Linked DNA regions of Diceros bicornis minor. The protein of the gene in region 2 interacts with the protein of the main gene of each other region in a biochemical or structural test. Links are inferred from orthologs where the notes say so. Each region holds a gene or a part of one and is shown on either strand. Other genes may lie near its edges. The genes, in order: MBP, PRKCZ and PARD6B.

Region 1 (7,474 bases), on a different chromosome or scaffold from region 2:
CTAAGACTTCCAGCCTCTCTGCTTGCCGTCCCGTCCTGCAGATGTCAGACTTGCCTCGCCACCCCCGATCCCTTGCAGTAAGTCGCTAACACCTATCTCCTCTTGTTCTGTTTCTCTGGTTGAAGCCTGACTGCTACACGTTTAGATGGAGATTTGAAATCTGCTCAGGAGAATGCACTAGCTGCTCATCCAGCATCTCTGCTTAGCGGGAGCATGAGGGTCTCCCTCTATGCTTACTGTTGTGTTAAACCCAGCTCCCAAAGCCCCCAAACTCAGGCCCATTTAAACTTCCTTCAGTAGCTCTAATGGACCAATAGAAGTGTCTTACTGCTTAACAACCACTTAATAAAAATTATGCTAAGTAATTAGAATATTTTCTTTCCTCCTTTACTGATAGCTAAGGAAGTTAAGGAGAGGATGACTAACAGACACACGACAGCACCGTAGAGTCAAATCATTCTGAAGAGGAAGCATATTGTGTTGGGTGTGGTCTCTCATTAGAGGTGGGATTTTAAAAAGAAAAAGAAATGGAAGGCAGCTCTGCAAGTCTGCAAGGTGTCCTATTCACCGAGGCTGGGCAGGGCTGCAACTAGGGGCTGGTGGGAGACTCCTGGAACTGAACTGAACTCCTGGGGTGTCTCTGTGCCTTGGCTTTCTCGTCAGTAAAAACGAGGGTATTTATAGGGTAGTTTTATCAGATGAGGGTATCCTAAGGTAGTCATGACATTTTGTTTTGTTTTGCTGAGGAAAACTGGCCCTGAGCTAACATCTGTGCCCATCTTCCTCTATTTTGTATGTGGAACACCGCCACAGCGTGGCTTGACGAGCGGTGTGTAGGTCCACACCCCAGAATCAGAACCACTGACCCCGGGGCTGCTGAAGGGGAGTGCATGAACTTAACCACTATGCCACCAGGCCAGTCCCGTCTTGACTCTTAATAACGTGGTACAGCTCTCAGAAGAGAGTTCCGCAATTCATAAGGGGTCAATAAATGCTACCTGGATACTTGGATAGAAAAGGCACAGAGGCAGTTGCTAATCTTGTGTCTAATTTTTAAAGAATCTAGAGAGAAACTAAAAATCAAACAGAATAACTTTCAATTAATGTTTAAAAATTCAAGCAGAAATAGAAGTCATAAGAAAGCTTGGTCTCTACTCCTTTTCAGCTTTTAGTAGACACCTTCACTCAGCACAGTCATTGCCAGCATGGACGACACACAAGCCCTGACCTTCAAAACCACGGAGGAGCAACCCAACACCTAAACATGCAACACGGAACATTTCTTAAATTTTCTTATCTTTGGGCAGAGATGTGATACTTTAGAAAGATTTTCAAACCGGATTTGAACCAAATAACTTTTGTTTAACCTCTACTTAATAAAAGTAGTCATTTCAGAACAGTTAAACCCTTGCGAGTTACTATTAACCAACATTTTACAGTAATCTTTAACTGCCTTCTCTCCCTTCAGGTTTTCGTTTATCCCACTTAAAAAAATAAAACCGCCGATGGGCACTTTTCCTTAGCTATTAGGCTACTGGCCTCCCTGCAGGTCATTGTTCACTGAGGGCTGCTCTGTTCCAGGCTCTCGCCAGCTCTGCACACGGGGCCCCAAGGTCTAAAAAGGCCCCCACGTCACGCAGGGGGGGCCTGCCAGCCGGCCTGTGGTGCAGGATTGAGCCGGATTCAGGGTGGTCCCTGACTCGTGGGTGACAGTCTGTAAAGTGTAAAGGGCTTGGCGGGCTACAATCTTCTCCAAACCCACAGGTCTTAAATAGGCAGCACCCTACAGTTCCCTTCCTCTGAAAAACTCTCTTCCTAGCCGGTTGTCCGTGTCCGTTGCCAGAACAGCCAGAGGCCCCCCGGACCACGTTTACAGCCCTCCCAACACATCCCAACTCTCTCACGTGCCTTCCACTGACGCAGAGATAAACTGAACACATGTTGTTGATTCTCACGTTGTCGCAATTGGAAAACAGAGAACCAGGAACCAGAACGCGCTTGTTTCCTGCCAGTCTGACGGAGATCCCCAAAGAAACCGAAATACTTTTCCAAACCCCATTCCGCCTTCCGAAACAGGGGACGCGAGTAGACCCTAAAAGAAATGAGGCGCTGACCACCAGCATCCCACAAGACCAAAGCCAGCCGGGCGTCAGCGGAGTGACAGCGGAACACACGACACCCTCTGGAACAACGAACCCGGCGCGTGGGGCGCAGGAGGGGTCACGGCGCCAGGCGCGCAGATGGCTGCAGGTGGGCCCAGGTGGGTTACAGGAGGCGCAGGTGGCTGCCAGCGGTGCGGCCCGAGCGGGACAGGCCCTGCCAAGGCGGAAGCCAGGCGAGTCGCCTGTCGCCGCCCTCGTCGCTCAAAGGGAAATTGTGCTTCGTCTGGGGCTGGGGAGGCGGGGTCGTCCGCTGGGCTCCAGGCGGGGAATTAGGAAGCACTTCACGCTGGTGGGCACCCCGGCCCACCCGTCGGCTCGCCCCTAGCCCCGTCTCCGCACCGCCCAGAGCGGCCTCTTTGACCTGTGTCACCTCCCACCCCGAAACCCCACCTCTAGGCCGCCCGCTCTTCCCGCCACCCCGGTCGCCCGGCCCGGCCAGAGACCACACCTGGAAATCCGTCGGGTTCCAGCCCCGCCGCCATAGACTGGCGTCTACACCCGCGCCCACTCCCTCGCAGGGAGGCCATGGGGCTGCCACCTGCCTCTCCACCTGCGCCGCTGCCCGGGGGAGCCCCGCGCGCCCTGGCCCGGGAAAGCCCCGAGTCCGGCGCAGGGAAAGAGCCCCCGGCGTCCGCCCCCTCTAGCCCCGCGTCCCGGGCTCCGGGTCCCCGCGGTCCCCCGCTCTGAGGACGCGGAGACAAAGCGCCGCGCCGCCCCCCGCCCCCGGCGAGGATAACCCACCGCACTGCGCTCGCTGCTTCCAGGCCGATGGGCGCCTCGGGGTCCCAGGCCGCCTCTCCGCCGCCCAGGCCCCAAGCGCGGGCAGCGCGGGGTCCCGGGGCCGCCGGCACTGCCTTCCGGGGTAGGAGACGCGGGCCGCCAGGGCCGGAGGCTCGTCCTCGCTGCGCGCGGCGGCGGTGACTGACTGCTGCTGCTCCCGGGCCGGGCGTGCACCCCGCCCCGTCTCCGCCCCTCCCCCGCCTCCCGGGCTCCAGCCAGCCAGGTAAACACCGCGGACTCGAGCGGAGCCCGGCCCACCTGCCGCCCCCGGCCGGCGCTGCCTGCGGGCTGGGGACCACTTGCGGGACGGCCTTGCCACGCGGAGCTCCGGGGACACGCGGGGACCGGGGCGCAGGGTCAGCCCTGGGAGGGCGGGGCCGGAGTGGGGCCGCCGCTGAACTGCTCTTTGAACCTTTTCTCGTGGCTTAGCCTCTGAAACTACCCCCGCCCGACCTGGCCGGGAGGGACGGGAGATAGCATCTCCTCCACGCCCCATTCCATAGGCAGGCGCCCGAGGGCCAGAGCGCGGGCTCCGACTGCCCGGTCAGTGCCGCGTCTCTAGTGCTCGCCCTGTGCCAGGCCGGGCCCTGGAGAGCACCCGGGCATTCGCCTTGCAGGGTCCCAGCACCCTGACAAGTGCTGCGCCGGAGAGCACAGGTTTCCACGAAGAAGGCGGGAGAAGAGCGCTGGTAAAACAGACCAAAACAGGCACAGTCGGAGGGGCGAACCTGGGTCCTGAGGCGCCGAGGCATCTATTGGCTTGTGGTCGGTGTCATCCTCTTGGTCCGTTTGTCACTTGGACACACAGATCTGGTGGAGTCAGAGGGCCCTTTCCCCTGGATTCTTGGCTTCCTCCTGATGGTGAGAAAGTAGGAGGAAGGGGGAGAGACGCCGCCTGAGACCCTAGCTCCCTCCTGACTTAGATTCTGGGTTAGGGAATTGAACGATACTTCCTAGAAGCCCTCGGGGCCCCACACGGTGTTTATGACGGAGAGGGGAAGTCTGGAGCTTGGCAAGACTCAGGGAGCCCCTGTCCCTTGGGCCAGCTCTGCGGGGGACAGTAGAGCCGACTCCTAGTGTGGTTTCAGGGCTGCCTGCCCAGACCAGCCGCCCTCACAGCCCCGGGGATTTATCAACTATGTTCAGATGCTGGTGATTCTGTGAGAAATATGTCCACAGTAATATGAACGCGTAATCTGATCGTTTCCTGAGAGAAGTGGCCAGAGGAGAAACCGTGGGCGTTCCCGGAGTTTGAGGTGGGAGGTCAGGAGGGGCAGGGAAAAAGGGGTGTTGGCTGTGCGGAACATCGAGTTTGTCTCCTTCCCAATGTTTCTGCCCCGTGCCTTCACACTGACGTTCAGGAATGGATAACCGGGGGAGTGAGGGAGCCTGACAGACACTGAGGGCGCACAGGGCAGTGAGTCTAACTGGGGAAGCTCCTAGGTCCCTGGCTCAAGTCATTCTTAAGCCCCGCCCCCAACTCCTTAAAGCTCAGGCCAGGGGACCCAGGACCTGGGTTCCATTTGGATTCCAGTTTGGGCATCACAGACAGCTTGTCCTCTCCCCAGATGTGTCTTTGCTTCTTCCTGGGGAGATGGGGATGCCGAGGAGACTGGGGTTCCTGACTTGCAGATGTCGGTGAAGGCTGAGGCTGGAGAGGCGCACAGACCACTCTGAAACAGCATCCTTTGTTCTTCTGCTTCATGCTGCTTCTGCTGATTTCTCTGTGGTTTATAGAGACTTTACACATACCAACAGTCATCTCTGCAAATGTCAGGCTTGCCAGCTCCAGTTAAAACTCTTTTAAGTATTTGTAAAATTCCACCATGCATATTTTGTGGGGATATAATGCCCCCACATTCATGGGTACTTCAAGGAAAATGTCTGTGAGGGAGGAAGGACCACTGCTTAATAGAGCGATGGATGGGCATTTGGGAGGTCCAGTCTTAGCACCTTCCCCTCTGGCCCACCAGGGAGAGGAGCCTAGGTGGAGGAGGCATACATAGGCCGGCACATCACCATGGGGAGTTGCACTTTGCATAAAGATGGCCCTGTGTCTTTTAGCAAAATGACAGATTCATTTTGCTGAATGAAACTGAAGGGAGTCTTTTGACAAGTAAAGGATGAATGATCCAGGCCTCATCGTCTCTTCGATATTTTTAGGAAAATCATATTGCAAATTCCCTCTACCTCTCATTCACTTCAGATATTGAGGGAAGGAACCTTCAGTCTTTCATACTGCAGCAAATAACACAATGTTTTGTGCATGATATACACTCAGTAAATTTTTATTAAGTCGAATTAAACTCCAAATTACCCAAACTAAAGGAAGTAAGTAAATTAATGTAAATAATTTCCAGTAGACCAGATTGCATGCGTTTTGAGTTTTCTTTACTTTCCCCATCAACAGATTTACCTTTGTAATTATATTTTTGCTTAGAAAAGACCTGAACTTCATTTTCATCCTGGTCTGTAATTAACAATTTGCTGGTGATGTTCGTAAAGCAGATAATCTACCTGTACAGGGTTGAGGGCTGACTACTTCACCATAAATTCCAGTTAATAACTGGATGGCCTCTGCTGTGGTCAGTGGAAGAAAATTAGGTGCACGAACTCCAGAAAATGCAACATAGAAAAAAAAGCCGTTATATGAACAAGGAAAACACTTGAGGGCTCAGCCACACACGCCTGCACAACCAGACACCCACAAACACACACAACTATGTGTCCATTCACATATACACACAACCGCACACACATTCACACACAACCACAACCACACACACGTTCACATACACACATGCACACAACAAGAAACACACTCACAAAAAGCCATTTGTTACTTCACCTCTGGTGAAACATCAGGACAAAAAGAAAGAAAAGGAAATTTGTAGGTCTCTGGTTATGTGGGAAAAAACAAAAAAATCTTTCATACATTTTTCTACCATCAACTTCTTGTATTTTTAAACTGTTTTATAAAGTGTGTGTGTATATACTGTATATATATTTTTCTTTAACCATAGTTCTATAGTTTTGTTAATAAAAATAAAAGCAAACTGCTATCCATAGAGATTAAAGTTGTTCTTAGTGAGCTACAGATATATATTAGCGATTCTCTGTATTTGAGAAGGAAATCTATGTATTTCAATAGATATCATACTTGGTAGTTAACTACCATTCTAATTGCTTCTAGAATTTCTGTATTTTTCAGTAAGATCCCTAACTACGTATGGGTTACTTTTCAATATACCTGTTAATTTCTTAGGGCTCACTGCACTGGCGAGTAGATACCATAAGATGGAGTTAGTTGGCAATTGTATTTTCCAGAGATGGCCTGACACCAACTCCAGTCCCACATATTCTCCTTCCTTTGTGACTGTGACTCATGGCATGGAGAAGTGGGGTCCGTGTCCCCTCCCTGTGAGCCTGGGTGAACCTTGTGACTGCCTCCACTAACAGAGTCAGGCTCTGGACTTCTGAGGCTGGATCATGACAATGCCCTGGAGTTCCCCTTTTCTCTCTTGAGCCTTTCGCTCTTGGAACCCAGCCACCGTCCTTTGAGGAAGCCCAGGCAGCCACCTGGAGCGACCACCTGCGTGTGCTCTTGCTGACAGCCCAGGGGAGGCGCACGCTGACAAATCTTCAGACACACTTCTGTCCCCGTCCCCCTCGGCCCCTGAGTCTTCCCAGCTGAGCTCCCAGCCTCACGGAGCAGGAAGGCGCATCCGCTCCGTGCACTTTCCAAATTCCTGATCCCCAGAATCCAGGAGCATAACAAAATGGCTGTTGCTTTACTCCACTAGGTTTGGGATGCTTTGTTATGCCTCAGTGGTAGCTGGAAGGTCGGTTAGAATGATAAATGGAAGGATGGGGATCAGGAAATGTCGAGAGTGTGGACGCCACAGCCCAGGCCCCAATTTATTACACTCTTTGTAAATAACCATGATTCCACTTCCAGAGAAGAAAGTATTTTATTAACTGACGATTTCATGTATCAAGCATTTCGTTCATTCATTCACTCATTTATTTATTCAGAACTATTTATTCAGCAATTAAATAAGGTGCATCCTTAGAGCCAGATGAAGAAGGAGAGTGGTGAGCCAGCTGAGCACCGTGGAAGGGCAGCCACGTGAGGGGGCGGTGGTGAGACATGGGTCTGGGAAGGCTTTCTGAAGGGAGGGTTTTGATGGATGGGTAGGAGTTAGCCAGATGAAGGGGGTAAGGGAAGAGTAGCCAGCAAACAGGACGACACGTGCGAAGGAGGTGCTTGTGTGAGAGGAGACAGGTGGGGCCGCAGGTGAGAGCCACCGCCAAGTCCTATGGAGGGAAAACACAAAGTGACCATCAAATCCAAGGTTTGCCCACCACGGGGCGCCTGTTGTGAGGCGAGGCGGCTTGTGTGTCTGCACCTCTGTTCTCTACATGGTCCTCTCTCCTTCCTGCCCACACACCCGATCTGCCTTCCTCCACCAGGCGTACGTTTTCTGCAGTTTACCTGAAGTGGTGAAGAAACTTCGTTTCTGTTGAGAACA
Region 2 (7,227 bases):
CCTGAATCAAGCAGCTCCTCTGAGCAAACAGGAGCTGTGGAGGCCACCAGCTCAGGGCCCCAAGTCAGAGCCCTGGGCAGCAGCCACCAGGAGTCTGCACCCAACAACCTGGTGGGCTGCCCCTCCCTGGACTCCTGGGTCTCCCTCCGGCCGCAGTACCCACCCCTGGGCTTTGCACATAGCAGGTTCTGGAACAGAAGTTCTGGAACACAAGCTTGAGCTGGAGAGAGGGAGGGTCCAGCACAGCTGTTGCTGTGATCTTAGACAAGCGGGCAGAGAAGGTCTGCAAACTCAGCACATCAGCTGGAGTCCCCTGAGAACGCAGGTACCCAGGACCCCACCCAGACTCGGGGACGGCACACCCTCCGGAAGCCCAGCTGGGGGCAGGGAGACCCTGGTCTCAAGCCTTCAGAGCGCCTCAGGGGACGGGCAAGGGTGGCGAGGAGAAGCTATCACTGTGGGGGCGGCTGAAGACCCTTCCAGTTTCAAGAAGAGTTTTCAACGTGTCTGACCCTCAGCTCCTGGCCGTGCTGCCCAAAAATGCCCTCCCTCCCGCGGCAGCAGCAGACAGAATGTCACGTGGACCCGCGGGGTCTGCATAAATGAGCCCCGATCTTGGTGGGCGTCTTTCGGGCCCAGGGTCACTGCTGTGCTCTGAGGACTAGGTCTCCCAGCTCAGACAGCGGGGTTTCCAGTCCTCAGGGAGGGGCACCGGGGCAGAGCACTTTAGGAAAAGCAGGCACTGGAGGGAGTGAGGAGATGGGAATGGGAAGGAACCTTCAGCTCAGCCTGGGGCAGAAAGCAGGAAGGGTGTGGGAGGGAGAGGAGAAGGAGGAGAGGGGCTGAAGAGGAGTGGGGAAAGAGAGAGAAGGGGAGGGAAATGAAGCAAAGAGAGGAGGGGAAGAGGTGGGGAGAGAGGGAGGAGGGGAGGAGGGAGGAGGGAAGGGGAAGGGGAGAAGTGGAAGGGGAGGGGGAGGGGCAGGGGAGGACGGAGTAGAGATGGGAATGCAAGGAAGAGGAAAGAGTGTGGGGGCGTGGCCTCATCAGCCTGGGGAAACCAGACTCAACAGGTCACATTACCCCTGGTAACCAGAGCGCTCTCCAGGGGCCAAAGCCAGGGGAGGGGTGGGTGGGCGGGTGGCTCAGCCCAGAACTCCCCCGGGCTCCAGTGAACTTTGCCTGTGACCCCCTCGGTCACCTCCATCCCCTTGCTCAGTGCCTGGAGGTGCCTACTTGAACTCGCCCTGGGGAAAGGCTGGGGGGTCCAGTCCCCACCCACCCGGGTGGCTCCGGGTGTGGACTTCCTCTCATTAAGGATCAACTCTGATTTTTACAGTGGCGTGTTGCTCAATTCCAGGTTCCCGGCAGGAAAGAGGACAGTGTCTCTGATATAGTGACGCCTTCCAGAGTTCACCCCTGCACAAGCCAAGATGCTCTGGCCCCTGGACGAGTCCCAGAACCAGGACCGAGCTGACATCTCACCAGATTTAGTGGGCAGCCCACCCTTCTCGGCCAGAAGATAGGACTCCCCGCCTCTTCAGGTGGGCTGGCCGGTCTGTCTCCCAGAAATCTTTCTTCCCTCCGGTTCTGCCACCAACTCCCCTCCCCCACTGTGCACCCAGGTGACCCGGCTGAGGACGGCAGAGGAGACGGAAGAGGCCTGACCTGAGACACCAAACCAGGCGCGCTCCCGAGGTCAAAAGCCCGAAGCCCCTCCTCCTCAGGTCGGAGGACGCGCCGGGCTCTGGCAAGACCCCATGGAATGCCGCTAGAGCCGAGACCGCCAAGTTCACACGCAGGGCTGGCGTTCCGCTCCCCTCCCGCCGCCCCAGCAGTGGCGACCGACTGGAGACGAACACCGGTGGAAAGAAGCAGCAGCAAAGGCGCCTGGTTCTCCCTCCAGCGCCGTCTGCACTGCTCAAGGTGGGCAGCGGGATCTTGGCCTCCGGGCGCAGCCCCCTAAACTCTCACTAGTGCTGTTCGGTGGCGGCCAAGCGTCCAGCGCTCCCGGGGCCGGGCCAGACGCTCCCGGCCATTGACCCTTGTGAGGCGCCCGCTCGCCCCATTTCACAGCAAGACAGGTCGAGTCCAGGGCGCCGTGCGCGTACGCAGGACCGAGTCCGAAAGGTCCGGCCCCCAACGGAACCGCGCGGGAGCCTTTCCAGGCGCCCTCCATTCGTGCGACCACGGGCAGCTCACCGCACCTGGCCTTCACCTCGGTCATTAAACTTTTCTTAAACTGAGACCTCTGGCCGGGTAAATTGGGGAAAAGTTTAGAAACTCCGATTTTTAAAAGTCTGCCAGCAGTTTTCACAATTTGATAAAAACTTTAGTCCTTACAGGTTTGTGGCCTTAAACATCCTGGCCAACTTTCCAGGGAAAATGTCAACATTGTCCCCAGGGCTATGGGGCGCGCGGCGACGTCGGGGCAAGTCCGAGCGCCACCTCGCCACGACGGGGGAAAACCCGCGTGGCCACCTGCGCCCGCTGCGCTCCAGGAAGGGCCCGGCGACCCTGAGCCTTGGGCGCCGGGGACCAGGCTGACCCCGCTCTGCCCATGAGGTTTCCCGCGGGTGACGTTCAAGGGCGCCCGCAGCACCCGCAGCTCCCGCCTCGCCTGGAGCTGCCTCTCGGCGCTGGTGCGTCAGGACCTCCCGGGGCGCCCCTGGGCCCAGAGGGGCCTCGCTGTCCCCTCCCTCCCGCAGCTGCGGTGACACGGTCCCCGACGGTCGGCGCGGTCCGGAGCTGCTCCCCGCGTCCCGCTCTGCCCCCGGCCCCGCCGGCCTCAGTACACACGCCCCCGGCCCCGGCAGGGCCCCGCCGTCGGGCGCTGCGCGCTCACCCGTTGTAGTGCGCCTTCAGGCGGACGCGGCCGCCGCTCCCGTCCATCTTGGGGCCCGTCCTGCTGGGCATGGCGCGCTCCGCCGGCCGCCGTCAGCGCTGCGCCCCGGGCGCTCGGGCCATGGCGCGGGGCCCCCAGAGGCCGGGCCGGGGCGCCAGGTGGGGCCGGCGGCGGAACGCGGAAGGGAGCGCACGGCGCAGGGACCGAGGGGCGCCGCTCCGGCCAACTCCGCGGAACTTGGGCGGCGGGCGGGGCGGGGCGGGGCGGGGCGGGGGCGCGGCCGGCGAGGGCGCGCGCGGGGGACGCGCACGGAGTCCCGGCGCCAGGCCCCGCTGGGGGCGGGGGTGTCCGAACATGGCCGACCCGAGGCACAGCCGGCGGCCAATCGGCGGGGCGGGCGGTCCTGGGGCGGGGGCGGTGGCACCTGCGGCCAATGAGGGTGAGGCGGGGCCGCCACCTGGGCCAATCCCCGGGGGACCCCGCGTCCAAGGCCCAATGGCGTGGCGCTGGGCGGACTACCTGTCGGGCGGGGCGCGGCCCACCTGCGGCCAATGGGAGCTCGCGCGGCCCAGCTCTGCCCGGCAACCGAAGCCAGTGCGTGCGGCCCGGGGACACCGGGACCGTCCGGCGCCCCCCGCCCGCCCTGCACGCTGGCCCCTCCGTGAGGTGGGCTGCGGGGCTGCGGTTCCTGGGGAGGGCCCCTGCGCTGCCGCACCCCGGGAACTTGTTGGGAATGCCAGCTCTCGGCCCAGTCCGACTCGCTGAATCAAAACTCCAGCAGTCTGCGAACAAGCCCGGGTAACCTCTGGGGCGAGGGCGAGTCTGAGAGCCGCTGATCTAGGGGACAGCGGGGAGGGGTCGCCGGTGACGTGAGGGCGGGGGGCGCGGCCAGAGGGAGCTCCGCCTCCTGAGAGCACGCGTGCAGCCAGCAGCTCAGACCCCCGACTGCAAAGGACGCTTGGACCGCGTACCCAGCGTCCGGCCAGCTTCCAGATGCGGAGACGGAGGCTGCGAGGAGCAGAGAAGCCGGCCAGCGTCACGGCCGGGGAGGTCCGGGCTCAGCTGGTTCCCCCGACCCACCCGCCCTCGTTCCCGTGCGGAATCCAAGATCCCATTGCAGGAAAGGCTCGTCTACACTCGCTAGCCGGCTCCCTCTGCTCCAGTACACTCCTCTGCCCAGGACAAGAAGACTGCATTTGCCCAGGCCGCCCATGACTTTCATTTCTGAATCCACAGCCTCTCTGGGTCTTACTAACTCCGTGGCATTTGACCTGGACAGTCACCTTTGACACCATCCACACCCCACACCACCTGCTCAGGTGCCTGCGTCCTGGGCCCGTTCCCCTTAAATGTGGGCTCGAGCTTCCCTCAGGAACCCATTCCTTACTGGTTGCGTCCACAGGGACCCAAATCTGCTGTTTGCAGGACCTCAGCTGGGCACTAGTTGGGCACGGCAGACTCAGAGGTCTGCAGCCCCTCATCCCTGCCACCCCTGCCAAACACAGTCTTCCTGTCAGCCTCTCCCCTGCTGCCTCCCTCCCCTTCCCCACCCCACCCGGTTGGCAACCTCTGACCCAGACTCCAGTCCCAGCCAAGCCTTCACCACTCACTCCCCCCATTCACACACTCGTTCATTCCACAGATGCTTCCTGGTGCGTCCTTGGTGCCAGGCACTGGAATGACCCTGGGGAACCAAATGGACACAGTCCCTCTGCTCATAGAACCATATTCTTCCTAGAGATGGACCCAGAGAAACCTGTCGACAGCCTACCTCTCACCTACTTAAAGTGCTGTGCACTCTCCCCCATAAAGGAACCTCTGGAGCCAGCCCTGATGGCCTAGGGTTAAAGTTCTGCCCAGGTTTGGCTTCCTGGGCGTGGAACCACACGCTCGTCTGTCAGTAGCCAAGCTGTGGTGGTGGCTCAGACAGAAGTAGAAGGACCTCCAACTAGAATATACAACTATGTACCGGGGCTTTGGGGAGGAAAAAAACCTCTGCACCATCCAGCCCTCCATCCACCCGCCCATTCCTCTGCTCCTCTACAATGAAACTCCTGCCAGGAGCTGTCCGCAGCCCTTAGCTCCACTTTCTCTCTCCTGCCGCTTAACCCCTCCTCCCCCCACTTTCACCGCCAGCTCCTGTGTTTTAAGTATAATGGCCATTTCTCAGGCTTTGTCCTAATTGACCCTTGTCAGTGTGTCCCCTGGAAACTCTCACCTTAGGATGCTGCTCTCTCCCTTCTCCTCCTCCAGCTCCCTCTATGGCCTCCTCCTGGTCTCCCAGCCTTTAATGCGGCCCCCCCCATCTGGTCCTCTGTGTCCCATCCCGCCACCCCCCTCAGTCTTTAGCGAGTCTCAGGACCTTGAGCTTCTCATTTCCTCTTAGGGCTCCAAACACCATCCCAAGCTCAGATCGCTCCCTGAACTTGGGAGCCTGCTTCCCCCACCACACACACTCAAACTGTCATGCTAACAACCCCCCTCAGCTGTGCTCTTCTCCATCCAGTCGGTGCAGACCCCCCCTTCCCAGGGGCTCAGCTTGAAACCTCGGAGTCACCTTTGCCTCCTCTCCCTCTTACACCCCACACCTCTCCACCTGCAAATCCTGGCGGCTCCACCTTCAACATATTTCCGGATTCCAACCACATCCCACCACCTCCATTGCTACCACCTGGTTCCAGCCACACCCTCTCCTCTGTGCTGGGATTTTTGCAGCAGCCTCCAATTTTCTTAGAACATAAGTCAGTCCATGTCCATCTGTCTGGTTTTCAAAACCCCCGATGATTCCTATCATTCTCAGGAAAAGCCCACAGGCCCTACAGGATCTGGGACCCCAAGCTTTTCTGCCCTCATCTCCCACCATCCTCATCCTGGCTCACTCCACTCTAGCCACCTGGCTCTCTTTGCTTCAGGGCCTTTGCACACGCTGTTCCCTCTCCTAGGAGCACCTTCCCCAGACCCACACTTCCTTTGAATCTCTACTTAACATCCCTCAAGCCTATATTAGCAGTCTGCTCCCCAACCCCCACCTCGCGGGGTGACGACTCCATGCCCCCGGCATGGGCACGCAGAGCTCTGTGGCTGTCATTTGGGCATGAAGGGAAGGGGACCGAGGGTTTGCCATGGGAGGGGAGCAGCCCGGTGCTCACGGGGAAGGGCAGGAAACCCTGAGCCACGTGAGCAGAAACCCCGAAGGCAGGTGAGTGTGTGGGACACAGCTCCCCCTGTGCCAGGCCCCTCAGCCTGGGGGAGGGGGAGGGGCCTATTCCAGGAGAGGGGGTTCACACCCCAGTCTTGGACCACATCCAGTCCCAGGCCAGGGTGAGGGCATATGGGTCGCCTGCATTGCCCAGAAAGCTTCCTGAGGCCTCCCTCACAGGGTGGAGCCCCCCTTTTGTATTCTCAACAAGCTCTGCAAAACAACAGCCCCCATCCCGCTGGCAGCCCAGGCCAGCGCCTGCCTCCGGAGGGCAGGGGTGGATCACTGTGGGGGGAGGGGGAGTTCCTGGCCGCCACCAGTGCTGAGCCACTCCCGCGGAGCAGAGGGCAGAGGGCTGGTCCTGAGGGACAGGCAGCCACGCCTGGCCCGGCGTTGCTGTGTCCACTGCGTGCCCTGCACCCTGGCAACCAGAGCAGGGTGTTTATTCCCAAATTCGCCGACCACTTCCCCCTCTGGACATGGCTGGAGTTGGGACCCCATCAGCCTGGGCCACTGCTGTGTCCCCTCTGCGTCTGCAGGCGTGTGGCACACGAGGAGTGAATGAACAGGTGGAGACCTCTTAGAAGGGCTGGGACCACGTGGGCCCCTAGGACCTTGGGCCCTGTCCTGGGGTCACAGGGCAGGGTTGCTGCCTCTCCCTGTCTGCAGTGTGCAGAGGCGTAATGGCCAATGGGAGGACCTGGAGGTGACCCTTGGGCCCAGGCGCGTGCCGGGGGCCAGACCTGAGGGTGGGTCTTTTTCACCTCTCTGCAGGTTCTGTCTTCCCAAATGTTCGCCAAGACCTCATACACTCATAATCACCAACACCTCTTCTTTCTGTAGTGAAAAAATACAACGGTGTGTTGTTGTTTTAACTGGTTATAAAAGTGACATGGGCTTTTGTAAAACTTTACAACAGGGAACAGTGTAGAGAGAGAAGCCCTCCTGACCTGTGCCCCCAACGCCTGACAAATCCAGTCGGGTGGGGGACATGCATGTCGAAGCCTTCTTGTCCCTCTCTTGTCACCTGGGACCCGAGGGCAGACGGAGGTGCAGGGTGGCCCCCAGGTGTGGGGCTGGTCGGGGGAGGAGGGTGGCCAGCCAGCAGAGGGCAGAGGTGGGCTGCCTGGCTTTGGGCCAAGGACCCTCGCCCTCCAGGCAGCACCTGGCTCACCCCCTGATTTTC
Region 3 (7,257 bases), on a different chromosome or scaffold from region 2:
TTCAAGGAATTTCTTGAAATTCTACCAAAGGCTTTGGTAGGCAATATTATTTGCTAAATAATAACCACTAACATTCGCACCACGCTTGATGGATTGCAGAGAAGTGTCACGTATAGTTTCTCATCTGATCCCTGCAACAACGCCATGAGGTGGTCAGTACCATCTGATTTTATAGACGAGGAATCTGAGGCTCTGAGTGGTTAAAGGAACAGGGTCAAGGTCACGTAGCCAGCAAGGAGCAGAGCCAGGGCTCAAATTAATATCTATCACCTAAAAAAATACCAAGATCTGAGTGCCTTCAAATTTAAACCTCTTTCATGTTACTTAAAAGTAAATAAAATAATCCACGGGAAAGCACAGAGCACAGTTCCTGGCACCAGGTCAGACCCTCATAAATGTTAGTTAGTTATCATCATTTTCATCAACACCTCCTAGGAACTGGCATATTTCAGCTGATGAGTGCAGCATGTCTGTTGACTCTGATGGAAAGATTACCCTACTCATTCCAGTTCATCCCTGGTAATGTTGAAATGATGATCAATCTCCATTATCCCTGGGGTACCATAGCATGTGAAGAGCTGGAAGGGACTGTGGAGATGATCTCATCCGGTGCCTGCATTTACAGATGGAGACGTTGAATCCCAGAGAGGGCAAAGGTCAAACCCCTCAAGGGCAGGGCTCACGCACAATGCCTGGCACATACTGCCTCCCACGAAGATGAGTTTTTACCTGAAAGGGCATCTAGCTTCTTAAAGGCTCCAGGAGATAATTCTTTAGCACTCCCACCCCACCCCCACACAAAGTACTAACATGTTATAAGCTATTAACCAGAAAATAGATCATGTGACTTAATTCCACCTCTGCAAAAGGGCTTAAAATGCTTTGGTGAGTCGTCTGAGATTCATAAATATACACTTCAGCTCTTTCTCAGAGAATTATTAACCAGCTCCATCAAAAAGGGAACTTGAGCAGTCAAGGAGAAAAAGAGCTGGTAAGAGAAACTTCTTGAAAAAAATCTCACCACTATTATACATGGTTTCTTGCCACCTCTTTCTTTTTTTTTTCCCTAAGAATTGGAGGAGGAAGGAAAAAGTATCATTGTGTAAGACAAGAATCAATAAAAAATAATTGTGGAAAATTACAAACTCTTTCCACTTCGCAAGGTAGATACCGAACAAACACAACAGTTGTGTTACGTCGTAGAAGAATGTAAAGACAGAAAGTATTGAACGGGAAGATAAAGCAGAAATGTCACCCAGACTAGCTTCTTTCAGAGGGTAGAGATGGGCCAGAGAGATCTGACAGTGTGTGGGTGTAATAATCAGTGGCAGCCCATTCCCAACTAATGAGTTTGTGAACCTATAATTTATAGAGTCCATGTCACACACTCACCTTACTCATCCCCCTAACTCACTGAGTATGAATCCTCCCAGGCACGGGACTAGCTTTTCATCCCACACGTAGGTCCTGATCAGCTTTAACTTGAGGATTTGGGGGTGGGGAGGGGTGATGGAGAGAAATGAGATTAGGGTTCAGTCTTCAAACCAAAGAAAGAGGAAGATAAACTCCTCTATGCCATTTCTCCAGGCTTCATGCTTCTCAAGAAAGGCTGAAATTCAGGCCCCGCGAGCAAACTTGTGGCCATAACAGCTCTTGGGATGAAAGGGTTCCCCTCCTCCACAACACCTTTATCAAATTCAAGCTATTTTCCACATTCCTGCCTTACACAACCCAGGCGCACTTGTGACGCAGGCCGAAGAGCAAATTCCGCTCAGGAGATCCAGGAAGCTCTGGTCTGGCCCTCCCTTCTAGAAAGGAAAGTCCAAGTAAAGAGGGATGCCACACCCGGGGGAGGGGAGAGAGGACGTGACAATACCTCCAGGAATGCAGGGCCCACACAGGTGCGCTGGCACCCACGAACTTCCTTTTGAAAAGGGCCTGATAAATCAGTACGGATAACAGTAATAAAGCTCAACCCAACAATCGCTCACATAGAACTGGGGCCCTCGCTCCCAGGGTGTGGCCCCAGCAACTGGAGAGAGGAGGGTGGCAGTGGAGAATACAGATCCCTAAAAGTGGTGACATGGTTCTAGGGAGCGGTTCTCAAAGTGCGGTCCCTGAGGCCTTTTCAGGGGATTCTCAGAGCCAAAACTATTTTCACAATACTAAGATGTCACTTGCTCTCCTGACCCTCATTGTCTCACAGGTATATGATGGAGTTTTCCAGAAGGGACATGATATGTGATATCATCACCCTGATGACTACAGGAATGTGTGCTTGTATATTCTTGTGTTTTACAAATTTTTCAGTTTTAATTCTAATACGATGCATACTGAAAGACATAACACACATAAACAAAATACTTGGGGGCCCTCCATAATTTTTAAGAGTATCAAGGGGTCTTGAGACCAAACTGTCACGCTCCCCCATCACAGGACCACACTTCATTTCCAGCTCAGCTTGAGTCACCGAGCAGGTGCTTTAAACAGGGGGTGGAGGAGGCAGCCTTATTATTTAGCTTGGGGTGTTATCCCTTCCATCCGTACTTCCACCCAAAACAGCCAGAAACACCATAAATTCTCCCACAAACATTTGGTGAACTGAACCACTCAGGGGGAAAGATGGGTTTCTCACCTTTGAACTCAGGTGGGGCAACGTTAGCACAGAGAAACCACACTCCCTCAGCTCCAGCACCCAGCAAAGGCATATCTGAGTACCTGCTGGGAGTCAGGTACCAGGCTACATGCTGACAGTGAGCAAAGCAGATGTGGCCCTCGCCTTCTCAGAGCTTCCATCCTAGGGCAGAGGTGGATGACTCCTGGAAAACATGGGAAAACTGGGACTTGTCACAAGTGCTGGGAAGGAGGGGTGCGAGGTGTCAGGAGGGACGTGAAGTGGGCAGGAGATGAGGGGAGCAAGGCCCTGAGGACTCAGGTGGAAGGCAGCACCCTAACCAGCTCTTCTTGGCCGTCTGGGATTAGAAACCCCGCCCACACGCCCAGGCCCGGCTACAGGAGGGCTCAACAGCTCTGATGAGCGGTCCCACCGGTGAGCCCTTCTGCAGGGTGGGGGGACTTGCGGGTCTCCTCCTCACCGCCCCAGCACGGCCAGTGCTAAACAGGGTCCCTCTGAGGAGGCACTGGGGCATTTAGAGAGAAAGATTTAGTCTTTTGTTATCAGGGAAACGAAGACAATCCAAAGGCTGTTATTGGTGAGAAACAGCAAATAGCCAAGAAAGGGCTAGAGGAAGGGGAGAAGACTTCAGAAGTTAAAAATAAATAAAAAAGAAGAAAAGAAAAACAGAAAGCCCTGGAGGGCTGGTCTAGGAGAAGTCCTCAGGGAAGGCGGACTTGCGAGGAGCGAGGAGCCATCCCGGGCCTCAGCTCACTTTCCCTCCCTTCCAGCGCCCGCTCGACCCCTTGGGACCTCAGGGACGAGACGGAAGAGTGTCTACGGACAAAACCACGCCAGGAGAGCCCTGAGGTTCTCCCCAGTAACTGCTGCAGGAGCGAGAAAACTGGAATTTTGCAACCACAGTTGCAACCAGACGCCTAAACGACGCAAAGGGGTGGTGGAGGAACATTGTTGCAGGCTGCAACAGCCCTAAGTGGAAAGGGGAGCGGGGGAGGCCGGAACCCACCAGCCCCGCCACGTCCCCGCAACCTGCCAGGCCCCGCGTTCCATCACCCAGCCGGGCGCGAGCTCCCGCCGGGACCCGGGCAACCAGGCGCGCGCCCGCGCGTGCGCACAAGGCCCACCCGCCCCGCTCGCCTCCAGGTGCGCTCGCGCTTCCGGCCGGCCGTCCCCGGGCGGAAACCCCACAGCCCGCGCATGCGCTCTGCTGCTAGGTCGGGGAGGAGGCCCACGGCTTCAGGTGATCCCGCCCCTCCCTCGCAGCGCGGGACCAATCGCGCGGCTGTGGGCGGGATTTTCGCGAAGGCGGCCCGCCCACACGCGGCGCGAGGCGTGTATCGATTGGTTGGCGCCGTGGGCGCAGGTGCGCGCTTCCTATTGGGTGTGGGCGGGGCGCGAGCCGCGGAGGCTTCCGCGCAGGCTGCAGGTGAGCGCGCGCACGCGCCGCGGCTCCCGCCCGGCTCGAGTGCGCGCGCGCGGGCTGGCGGGGGAGGCGGCCGAGAGCGAGGCTGCGGCCCCGTGCCCTCTGCCCCGCCCCCTCCTCCTCCTCCGCCTCCGCCCCCTCATCCTCCGTCGCGGCCGCCGCCGAGGCCCGAGGGAGGGAGCCGCGTCCCCGCCCGCCGCGCCTGCAGTCCGACCCTCGGTCCCGCCGCGCGAGGAGCCAGCCGAGCGGAGCTGTGCGCCGAGACCGAGCCGCGGCCGCCCCGCCGCAGGTGCCTGTGAGACGCGCCCGGGCCGCAGCGCGTCCGCCGCCGGCCGCGCGCTCGCTGCCCGCGCTCCCGCCGGGCGGCCCGGCCTCAGCATGAACCGCGGCCACCGGCCCGGGGCGGGCGGCGGCTGCCTGGGCACCATGGAGGTGAAGAGCAAGGTGCGCGGGGCCCGGGCGGGGCGGGGCGGGCCGGCCGGGGGGCCGGGGAGCTGCCGCGGGGTCGGGGGCGGGGCGGGGCGCGGTGGCGCGGCTCGCAGGCGGCAGATGGTGGATGGTGAACTTGCGGAGAAGGGGCTAGGGAGGGGCCGCGTGTCTGCCCCTGCCCGGGTGCGAAGACCGGCGGAGCGCCTGATCGCGGTCCTGGTCGAGGACGGGAGGAAGGGCCGGGGGTCCGCGAGGGCGGGAGGCTTGGAGCGCGGCGTGCAGCGAAAGGTCGGGGGGGTTCTCCCTCCCGGCCTGTGAGTACGAGGTATTGGAAACACCCGTTCCGCAAGATGTTCCCCCTCTCTGGGGTGCGGGAGTGCATCGAGTGGGTCGCCCAGGGACGGAAAGAGCGCTTTTAAAGTTAGCTTTGCCTCTTGCTGGGGATTTTTCTAGCACTAACTTTGGTATGCATTTAATCTAGAAAATTAACGCTATCGCCTTTCCTTCGAGTAGCACTTTACAGTTTGGGTCTGGATGCTCTTTTCATTCCATCCTGCCACCTTTTCACATCAAGTGTTTTCATTCTAGGCCAGCGGTATGCCAATCTGCTGATAATTACGTCGGTATCTACTGAATTCCTAAATTGCAAGGCTGTCTGAGCAGGAGGATAGTCTGTGGGGATTAGTTCGGGAATGCTTTCCAAAGGGGGTTTTGAACTGGAATTTGAAGGTGATCGGCAGCCACGGGAACATTTTCAGTGAGCATTTCATGAATTGAAGAGCCAGAGGGAGCTTAGATAATCTAGTCTGTTTCTCCAAGAAGACAGAGGCTCAGAAAGGTTATGACTTAGCCAAGCTCTGCTTTTATGATGAAATCTTAAAGCCTTTTTTACAGAGTAACTTTTAGGCGTATAGAATACAAAAGAGAGGACATTGGCTGGGCCCTGAAAACATTTGAAATAGAGTTGGGAAGACCAAAACACATAAAAGAGTAGGAGAAAAGTAAAAGCATATCAGCTTCAAAAAATGGAATATCATTGAATGTGTACTTAGGGAGAATGCAAAATCAAGGAGTGATTTTAAGTGATAGAGTAAAGCTCCCCGCAGCCTGTGGTAGAATGGTTTTTATTATCTGGAATTGATAAGCAAAGTTCTGTAAGTTGCTGAAACTGAGATTATTCCTTCCAGAATATCTACATTCATTTTTAACATCATTTTACAGTGTTGTTTGCAACTTAACTCATGTATCAGGAGAGGCAGTAGTTTCAGAACCCATTCGGTTTAATAAGAATAGAAATGTAATGATAGCAATTTAAGCAATATGCTCTGCCCTGTGTCCTCTGTGGAACTGCCATAGCAAATTGAAGTGACATCGTTGAACTGAGAGATAAGATGACTCAAAATGTATAGAGGTTTTCCCTTAGCAGTGTAGTGGCGGTAGTGGTTCCATGCCCAATAGTTGAGCCTTGTCGTGGCATTTCTGTAATACATTTACTTTGGGCTTGTGGGAGTTGAGGTTAAGAAAAGAAAAACACTTGTGATATTGCGTAATCTTAAAATTCAGTTTGTGGTCCTAATCTTGGTAGTTAAGCCTCTAATTTTTTTATCATAAGAAAACATGAGTAGGGATTTTAGGTGCACTGATTAATACAGTCAAATAGTAATTTATCTCTCAGACTAGGAAACCTTGAGCACTTGGGGACTGGAATTGCAGGCTTTCTGCCCTTCTCTTCTGTCATCTGATCTGTGAATATTTCCCATACTTATGTCTAAACTACATGTTATATATTTGACCTGCCATACTGCGCTTTTAGTGAACCATGTCTTGTAAGAGAATCAAGGCAGTCTGAGAACCTGCACCGAATGAAGTGTGGTCCCACTGTTCTAGCTGTTCATAAATAGGCTCAGTATACGTATTGTTTCTAGGGTGTCTGTGATACCTCACGTTCGAAATATATATTGTTGATACATTTATTTTTAGTGGATTAAATGAAACACTTGTCATCTTGACCATTTGAAATACTTGGTCAGATGTTGGAAACAGTATTTCCCTTTTCACTGCTTTAATGATGTCACAAGCTTTTTACAAAACTGGTGGCTAAGAGATCGTAACCACAACTAGGTGATGTGCAGATTCACATTTCAGAATCTCTTTTTCTTCTGTAGAGAAAACAGTAGTATGAACTTTATTATCTTTGCTCGTGGAAGGGGAGATGGTACAAATAATCAAAGTAATGGATAATGCAGAAGTAACTATAGTTAAATTGTGATACCAGCTACCGTGTCACTTTTCTTTGGTAACTGATTTATCTTGTTTCTCTTGAGTCGGGAGTTCTTAATCAATCATCAAGGTGGTGTCCTTTAAGAACCTTGGAACAGTCTTTGAGCTGTACGTTTCCTAATTATTTTTCCTGGGCAAACAGGATATTCAAATAAAGTTTGCATTTCTACAGTGTACCCACATCTTGGGAGAAGGGTGTCCATACGCATTCTGGGTGGCCAGGACAAACTAGACCAGCCTAAAAAAAGTTGTAAATGGTTTACATAGTGAAGAATTGTTGATTGGGTCTTAATTTGATCTCTCTCTTCCTGTTTTTCTTGATGTAGTGAAAAGTTCTCTTCATCCTCTTGTTGTGCTACAAGAAGCATAACAATTTCTCTTGTTGTTTTTCTGCTAACGTTTGCTAAAGGGCACATCTACGGTGAAGCCATACAGTTTTCCATTGTTTCTATCATAACATTTAAGCAAGAGAAAAAAATGCTGAGCAAAG

What was found.
Region 1: of the proteins of PRKCZ (region 2) and MBP, one has a biochemical effect on the other in vitro, tested with the Homo sapiens proteins (2 studies listed by BioGRID). The link is inferred for Diceros bicornis minor from reciprocal best matches to the Homo sapiens genes PRKCZ and MBP.
Region 3: the proteins of PRKCZ (region 2) and PARD6B form a complex in vitro, tested with the Homo sapiens proteins (2 studies listed by BioGRID). The link is inferred for Diceros bicornis minor from reciprocal best matches to the Homo sapiens genes PRKCZ and PARD6B.

Annotation. Positions count from the first base shown.
Region 1 is NC_080755.1:65,461,189-65,468,662, forward strand, and holds the start of MBP (myelin basic protein), read right to left. Parts: upstream 3,085-7,474; 5' UTR 2,904-3,084; intron 2,461-2,903; exon of another isoform or gene 2,197-2,460; intron 1-2,196. UniProt on the Homo sapiens protein: The classic group of MBP isoforms (isoform 4-isoform 14) are with PLP the most abundant protein components of the myelin membrane in the CNS. They have a role in both its formation and stabilization.
Region 2 is NC_080752.1:22,812,373-22,819,599, reverse strand, and holds the start of PRKCZ (protein kinase C zeta type), read right to left. Parts: upstream 3,070-7,227; 5' UTR 2,914-3,069; coding exon 2,843-2,913; intron 2,244-2,842; exon of another isoform or gene 1,623-2,243; intron 1,542-1,622; exon of another isoform or gene 1,165-1,541; intron 1-1,164. UniProt on the Homo sapiens protein: Calcium- and diacylglycerol-independent serine/threonine-protein kinase that functions in phosphatidylinositol 3-kinase (PI3K) pathway and mitogen-activated protein (MAP) kinase cascade, and is involved in NF-kappa-B activation, mitogenic signaling, cell proliferation, cell polarity, inflammatory response and maintenance of long-term potentiation (LTP).
Region 3 is NC_080758.1:11,471,208-11,478,464, reverse strand, and holds the start of PARD6B (partitioning defective 6 homolog beta), read left to right. Parts: upstream 1-4,217; 5' UTR 4,218-4,436; coding exon 4,437-4,502; intron 4,503-7,257. UniProt on the Homo sapiens protein: Adapter protein involved in asymmetrical cell division and cell polarization processes. Probably involved in formation of epithelial tight junctions.